Macaca mulatta: one gene and its partner. The protein of the gene in region 1 purifies or fractionates together with the protein of each later gene. This does not show direct contact. Links are inferred from orthologs where the notes say so. Each region holds a gene or a part of one and is shown on either strand. Other genes may lie near its edges.

The links.
Region 2: the proteins of NELFB (region 1) and NELFA purify together in Homo sapiens (affinity purification with mass spectrometry; 8 studies listed by BioGRID and IntAct, counting the BioPlex papers as one, with this or other methods). This does not show direct contact. The link is inferred for Macaca mulatta from reciprocal best matches to the Homo sapiens genes NELFB and NELFA.

The regions. Positions count from the first base shown.
Region 1 is NC_133420.1:5,193,626-5,197,821, reverse strand, and holds the start of NELFB (negative elongation factor complex member B), read left to right. Parts: upstream 1-1,379; 5' UTR 1,380-1,418; coding exon 1,419-1,664; intron 1,665-1,965; coding exon 1,966-2,129; intron 2,130-2,389; coding exon 2,390-2,489; intron 2,490-2,894; coding exon 2,895-3,125; intron 3,126-4,162; exon of another isoform or gene 4,163-4,196. UniProt on the Homo sapiens protein: Essential component of the NELF complex, a complex that negatively regulates the elongation of transcription by RNA polymerase II.
Region 2 is NC_133410.1:2,108,066-2,111,708, reverse strand, and holds part of NELFA (negative elongation factor A), read left to right. Parts: exon of another isoform or gene 1-54; intron 55-426; exon of another isoform or gene 427-776; intron 777-1,174; exon of another isoform or gene 1,175-1,347; intron 1,348-1,533; coding exon 1,534-1,623; exon of another isoform or gene 1,624-2,315; coding exon of another isoform or gene 2,316-2,781; intron 2,782-3,049; coding exon 3,050-3,180; intron 3,181-3,268; coding exon 3,269-3,338; intron 3,339-3,589; coding exon 3,590-3,643. UniProt on the Homo sapiens protein: Essential component of the NELF complex, a complex that negatively regulates the elongation of transcription by RNA polymerase II.

The sequences.
Region 1 (4,196 bases):
CAGACTCCCAGGGCCTTCACCTGCCGGGTCCCTGTACTGCCCCTGCCTGCAGCTTCACCTGGCTGGGGCCTCCCTTGTCACCACTGGCCTGCCCTCCTACCCAGGGTTGGGCCCCAAGGCTGCCACCTTGCAGGAGGCTTAACTGCAGTGCCATCACCTGTACCTCCCCAAGTCCTTCCCAGACCCAGGACCCAGACCAGGCCCAGAGCTCAACCCCTTCAAAAAGGCTCTGGGCAGCTGCTCCTGTGGCCTCAGCACCATCCCCTTTGGCAGAGAGGAATCCAAGGCCCTAGGGCTGTGTGTGTGCTGTGTCCCTTGCCCTCCTCTGCCACTGAACCAGCTGGGGGTTGGATCAAGGCACTGGTACCTTCGCCCTTGGGGTGACCAACTTGGCCAGCAGCAAGAAAGCCGTGGTAGCCCTGGCCTTGGGAGGTTGGCCCCGCTTGTGGGAACAGGAGCTCTGCTCATGGCTGCACCACCAGGCACCCCTGGTGAGACACAAAGCTAGGAGTGGAAGCGGCAGGAAGGATGCAACGATCTCCTCCAGCTGGGCTGAGGAGGGAGGGCTTCCTGGAGGAGGTGGAGGAAGGAGCCTTTAAGGAAGAGCAAGAGTTTGTTGGGCAGCGGGAAAGAAATTTCTAAAGAAAAACTCGGCAGGGAAGACCGAAAAGAGAGAGGGTGTGTGTAGGGTGCTTGGCGGGGCACTGCCTGCGGGAGGGCGGCGGGCTGGAGGGGCGGGGAGGCCCGGGAAGCCCACCCGCCTGGGATGAGAAGGGACACTGTGGAAACTGGACTCTCCCTCACGGCTCCGCGGAGCTCGGTGGGCGCCACAGCCTCCCGGTGCCGGGGAGGGCGGCCGTCGCTCGCGCTCCCGCTGCGGGCCCGGTCTCCGCCAGGCCCCGGCCCCCTGAAGGCGCTCAGACCTCAGTCTTGGCGACAGCGCTGCGGTGGGCTTCGTGCCCGTTTCACGCGGAGGAAGCCACGCTCAGGAGGGAGGGAGTCTGCGCCCGTGTCCTGCACCTGCAGAGCGGAGGGGCGGGGAGCTCAACCCCCGGCAAAACGTCCCCGCGGCGCGTGGCTGCCGCGAGATCAACAAGAGCGTTTTCCAAGCTTGTGTACACGAAATTCACTCGGCTGACATGACGTCAGTTGGCAGATCAGACCGACCCCGCTTCCGCCCCCACGCTCCCACCCGCCCTCTTCTGCCAGAAACCCCGGGAGCGGGCGGGACCGGGCGGGCGCATGCGCAGTGGGCTGCCTGGGCGGGGTCTCTCGCGCCGGGAGAGGGCGCTGCTCCCAGGAACCTGCGCGCGGCTCCGGCGGCGTTTCCAGGGGGCCGGTTGGCGGGCGGACCCGGGCGGTGCGGGGCGGAAGTGGGCGGCTGCAGGACGCGCGCGGAGCCGCGCGGCGGGCGGGACCTGGCCGAGCTGGAGGGCGCCGGGGAGCGGGGCTCGGGCGGCCCCCGAGGCCCGGCGGAGCGGGCTTCTGGGGTGTCTGCGGCGGCGCCGGGGGAGCGGGCTGGGGATGGGGCGCCTAGCCGGGCGGCGGCCGGGGCCTCGGCCATGTTCGCGGGGCTGCAGGACCTGGGCGTGGCCAACGGCGAGGACCTGAAGGAGACCCTGACCAACTGCACGGAGCCACTCAAGGCCATCGAGCAGTTCCAGGTGGGGCAGCCCCCGGGGCGGGGGGAGCCCGGTGCGAGGGCAGGGCTGCCTGCGCCGGAGTCGGGCCTGGCGGAGGCGCCGGAAGTTTTCCGGCTTTCTCTTGGTGTCTGAGTCTTGTTTTGGGGGTGGAGTCCGGAGCCAGCATCCCTTTGCTGGACGGCTGGGTGGCTTTCGGTGGCTGCGGTTACCGCCAGCACGGCTGGGAACACCTGGGTTCGTACCTCCCTGGGTTCGAGCTCTTAGAACCTTGGGGTGCCCGGGCGCACTGGGCTGCGGCTGAGATTTCTCTTGACTTCCTCAGACAGAGAATGGCGTGCTGCTGCCCTCTCTTCAGTCGGCCCTCCCTTTCTTGGACCTGCACGGGACGCCGCGGCTGGAGTTCCACCAGTCGGTGTTCGATGAGCTGCGGGACAAGCTGCTGGAGCGAGTGTCAGCCATCGCTTCGGAAGGGAAGGCTGAGGAAAGGTGGGTCAGCGGGAGGGATGGGCAGGTGAGATGTGCGGCTGTTTTCTCAGCCTTGGATCGACTCAGGGGCATTTATCATCCTTTTGGCTCCACATCCTTGCTCCCAGAGGTGGCCTGGCTCTGTGTCTGAGTGTGGAGCCTTGCCCCATGTGTCCTGCGCGTGGAGGCTTGTCCTGGTAGCTGTTACCTGTGTGGGGACAAGCAGGTAGCTGCTCTGATCTGGCGCATCGCTGCACCATCAATCTTGTGAGTTGTTGCAGGTACAAGAAGCTGGAAGATCTTCTGGAGAAGAGCTTTTCTCTGGTCAAGATGCCGTCCCTGCAGCCCGTGGTGATGTGCGTCATGAAGCACCTGCCCAAGGTAGGGTTCTAACCCTAACCCGGACGTGGTGGCGTGGACCGTCCGCCCACCTCTCGTGCCCTTAAGTTGGTGGAAGTTCTGGTGGCCACCTAGCTCCGGGAGCTTCCCACGCCACCTGCCGTAGTGCTGTCTATGGTGAGCTTGTCTGGCTTCTCCTGCATGAGCAGCGTGGAGACTGAACCTTAGCACTGGAGTTGGGGTGTGGGGCCCGCCCTGGGATAGAGCTGTTGGTATTTGGCTTGTCTGCATGAACCTGCTGGGGCCAGGGAACCTGTCATAGGTGTCCTGTGGGGTGGGGCTTAGCGGGAGGTGGTCTTGGGGGGGGGGGCTGAGGTCTCTTGGCTTGTCTTAAGGGAGATCCAGGGACACAGGGGCCACTCACAGGCTGCCTGTGGTGTCATGTAGGTTCCTGAGAAAAAGCTGAAGCTAGTCATGGCTGACAAGGAGCTGTATCGAGCCTGCGCCGTGGAGGTGAAGCGGCAGATCTGGCAAGACAACCAGGCTCTCTTTGGGGACGAGGTTTCCCCGCTGCTGAAGCAGTACATCCTGGAGAAGGAGAGCGCGCTGTTCAGCACAGAGCTCTCTGTCCTGCACAACTTCTTCAGCCCTTCCCCCAAGACCAGGCGCCAGGGCGAGGTGAGGGGACAGGCCGTGTGCAGGGCGGGGCACCTTTTGGGGGTGCCATGGCTGGCCCCATCAGCTGCCTGGGGATCAACACCCTGCTGCCCTGTGAATGGTTGGATGGTTCTGCTTCTTGGCTGGGCGGCGGGGGAGAGCTGGCCTGTACCCGTGCTGGAAAGAATGTTGGTGGTTTTTATGTTTGTAGTTTACTTTTCTTTAAAGTGATATATGGACAACATTAAAATCCACAGAAAGGCCCCTAATGAGAAGTTACAGCACCTGCCTCCGCTACTTCTTTTTTTTTTTTTTTTTTTTTTGAGTCGGAGTCTCGCTCTGTCGCCCAGGCTGGAGTGCGATGGCCTGATCTTGGCTCACTGCAAGCTCCACCTCCCGGGTTCACGCTATTCTCCTGCCTCAGCCTCCTGAATAGCTGGGACTACAGGCGCCAGCCACCACGCCTGGCTAATTTTTTGTATTTTTATTGAAGACCGGGTTTCACCGTGTTAGCCAGGATGGTCTCGATCTCCTGACCTCATGATCCGCCCGCCTCGGCCTCCCAAAGTGCTGGGATTACAGGCGTGAGCCACTGTATACGGCACCTCCCCGCCCCCGGCCCACCTCTAAAAAGCAAGTTCTGTTTGGTCCTTCAACTTTTTTTTTTCTGTTTCACGAAAACATGTATTAGATGACAGCTGTACATGGCCTAAGCTGTGTGTGGGCTGGTAAAGGCTTGAGTGCTGGCTAGAACCAGGAAAACTGCTGTCCCGTTTTCATGTTCACAGAACAGCTATTTCTCATAGTTGGGCCAGTCCTATGGCCTGCAAAGGAGGTAAACATTTTAAAGCAAGACTTAGCTGAACTGGAATGGAGCCAGAGATGAGGGCACTAAGCCAGACCTCCCAGGCAGTGATCTAACAGCTTGTTCTTGGTGTCCCGGCTCTTTTGCTCCGAACACGGATGGGGAATGTGAAGGCTCTCTTCTGGCTGGGATGAAGCATCTAGGTGATAAGAAATCCAGAGAGGGGCTGAGGAAGGGAGGCAAGAGTTGCTTTTTATTGACTTGGAAGTGGGCTCTTCAGTGAAGCC
Region 2 (3,643 bases), on another chromosome or scaffold:
TCCCGGGTTCAGGCCATTCTCCTGCTTCAGCCTCCCGAGGAGCTGGGACCACAGGCGCCGCCACCTCGCCCGGCTAATTTTTTGTATTTTTAGTGGAGACGGGGTTTCACCGTGTTAACCAGGATGGTCTCGATCTCCTGACCTCGTGATCCGCCCGCGTCGGCCTCCCAAAGTGCTGGGATTACAGGCGTGAGCCACCATGCCCGGCCAAAGTTTTTTGTTAGAAGTTTATTTATCACTATATTAAACTTTGTGTTCTGAAAACATGCTTTAAAAACTTCAGAATTTAAGCCAGGCGTGGTGGCTTACATAATCCCAGCACTTTGGAAGGCCAAGGCCAGCAGATCACCTGAGGTCAGGAATTCAAGACCAGCTTGGCCAACATGGTGAAACCCCGTCTCTACGAAAAATACAAAAATTAGCCAGGCGTGGTGGTGCAGGCCTGTAATCCCAGTTGCTAGGGAGGCTGAGGCAGGAGAATCGCTTGAACCTGGGAGGCGGAGGTTGCAGCGAGCTGAGATTGCACTCCAGCCTGGGCAACAAGGACAAAACATCATCTCAAAAAAAAAAAAGAAAGAAATCAAAAACTTCAGAATTTTAGGTTAAGGCATCTCTAATCTCTGTTACCAAATGAACTCTGTGCCAGCTGAGTCCCGCTGTTGGGCACGATGGGTGCCGTTGTGAATGGCTGGAGGGGCACCGTCCTTACTGTCACGTTGCTACCTTCTTGAGTGGCCAGTGATCTCAATTTGACTTGAAAGATATTTAATCATTTCATTTAACGTTTTCCCAAAGCACGACAAAGATTACAATAAAATCGTTTTATTTTGAATGGTTACAGAATGAATATTTATAATGTACATCGATACCCCGTTTCTAGAGAATCCAAATAAAAGGCTGACAGCAGCTGTGCTTGGGTCTTGGCTGGAACAGGCAGCAGCCGGGGCCCAGCGCTGTCCAGGAGGCTCCGTGCAGCCCCAGGGGCACCGGGTAGCCCATGAAGGACTCTGCTGGCCCCTTGGGCCCCACCCCACAGTGGAACGCATCCCTTTTGGAGGCCAGCAGCGGCCTCAGGCTGTGCTTTGGGCACTCAGTGTCCCCTGACCCTTCAGCCTCACTGAACCAAGTCAGGAAAATCTCTTCGTTTGTTTCTTCCTCATATTTTTGTGTCTAGACCATGCCTGCTGACCCTCAGCGAGGACGGCGCTCCCACTGAGCCAGGGGGAGGCCCGGGTCGTCGGAGTGGGCCGGTGAGGCCCCTCAACTCCTTCTCTGCTGCTTCCCCCTGCCGTGGGGTCCTGGGAGGTGCAGCCACAGCCACCCAGCTCCCGAAACTTGCTCACCTGAGTGAGTTTCTGACTTGTTGTAATGTGCGAGCTGGTGTCAGGCCCTGCTCGAAACAGCTGCTCATTAGAGAGAATGCAGTGTTCACGGCTCAGGCCGTTGGATGAATCCGCTTGACAGAGATGCGTTTACAAGGGCCAAGAGCTCTCACTCTGAGGATCCCTGACACATGTGACCTCTTCCTTCCAGCCACGGAGACCGCCCAGCAGCTGAAGCGGAGCGCCGGGGTGCCCTTCCACGCCAAGGGCCGGGGGCTGCTGCGGAAGATGGACACCACCAGTAAGGCCCCCACCCCGGTGCTGCGAGCCTTGCTTTTAGGGCAGAGCTAAGAGCTTGACCTGGAGACTCGGCTCCCTGTTGGGGAGGTGGTGCATGTGAATGACCCGCAGGCAGCAGTGTTGGGAGCGCGCGGGAAAGCGAAGGCACCGGGGCAGTTGTACCAGCTTCTCCCCTTGGGGAGCGCCCTGGGAGGGTGCGTGGGTGCTGAGACAGGAAGGCCGGGATCGGAGGACAGCATTGGCCCCTGCTTCTCTGCTGTCGGCAGCAGCTTTCGGCCTTCCCAGCTCGGGTTCTCAGCCCCAAGTGCTGCTCTTGGGTTCCGAGTGTCCCTGGGAGGCTGCGCGGGGAGGGCGTGACCGTGTTCTGCCGCCCGCGGGGCTGCGCCCCTGCACCCCTCCATCTGCCCTTCCTGATTTGTGCTCTCAGGGCCGGGTGTGAGCTTAAGCAGAATGGACCCTGATCACAGGAATACGGCGTGCCCCTGGGAACCGCAGCAGGGCATACTCACCCCACAGGGTGCTGGAGAGTGACCTGGGGGCCAGAGGGCAGGACGGGTGCCGTCCTGTGCTGAGACAGCTGGGTAAACTGCAGATGGGTGGTGCTGAAAGGGCAGCCTTGCAGGCACCCTCCATGCAGCCCCCGGACCAGCCTGGCTCAGTTTATTTGGGCTCCCATAATTCCACAGTGTTCACATGGGACCTAGTAGAAGGCGTCTTGGGTCTGCTGACTGTTGTCCCTGCGTGGGGGGGCCATCCCCAGGTCACGTTCCTGCCCACCGCAGCCAAGGTTCCACCTTGCTCTCCTCTGCCCCGCCTGGAGCAGACCCTTGTCTTTCCACCCCAGCCAGGCATCCCAGGGCTGGGGCTGCACCTGCTGTCCCAGGGAGGGTGGGCCAGCTGTTGAGCAGTGTGTCCAGCCTGTCCCAGTGTGCTAACGGCATGGTCCGCCGGGCACCCTCTCTCCGGTCCTGGCACCATGAGAGCCATGCATGCCCTGGAGGGTGTGTGTGGGCACTGGTGGGTAATGGCGTAGGCCTCAGGAGCGTCCTCGGGACAGGAGGACAAGGCTCGGGAGGGCAGTCCTCGAGCCCAGGCGCCTGGCTTCGCGCCCCTGCCTGTGGAGGTACGGGAAGGAGCCAGAGCTCAGCCCCCCGTGCTGGTGAGAGACTCCACCGGGTGAGATCCTGTGGCTGGGCTGGGGTGCCGCTGTCTTTGGTGTCTTGGCAAAGTGTGAGGTTGTGGCTCCAGGCACTCCCCTGCTCCCTGAGGTCTGGGATTCTGGGGGTCCTGCCCGCTGCCCGCCAGGGATTTGGCCCTTCCCCACTGCAGCGCTAGCCTAGAAGGGGTGGGATGTTCTGGGCTCAGAGGGGGTGGAGGATGTTTGCCGGTCCCTGCTGCTGGCCCTGACAGTTGCTGTCGTCCTCCAGCCCCACTCAAAGGCATCCCGAAGCAGGCGCCCTTCAGAAGCCCCACGGCGCCCAGCGTCTTCAGCCCCACGGGGAACCGGACCCCCATCCCGCCTTCCAGGACACTGCTGAGGAAAGAACGGGGTGTGAAGGTGGGCCCGTCCCCCAGCTCCTGTGGCGCCCTGAGGCCTGCCGTGCCCTGGTGCTGTCACTAAGGCAGGGCTGTGCTTGTCTTGGCAGCTGCTGGACATCTCTGAGCTGGATATGGTCGGTGCTGGCCGAGAGGCGAAGAGGAGAAGGAAGACTCTCGGTGGGGATTGGGGCCTGCGTGGAGGCGGCAGTGGGGGTCCCTGCGGGCCCTGCCCAGGTGGGGTGGGGCGTGTCCACGCTCAGCGGGCAGGGCTGTGCCCCTGTGAGGCTCCTCTTCTGTGGGTGGGCGCCTGCTTTTCTCCTCGCTCCTTGGCGGCCTCTCCTGGGAAGCTGTTTGCTTCCCTGTTGCTGCCCCGAGCTGAGCCTGCAGACGCACCTGGGCACTGGTGAGGACGCCTGTTTTGTCCACAGATGCGGAGGTGGTGGAGAAGCCAGCCAAGGAGGAAACTGTGGTGGAGAACGCCA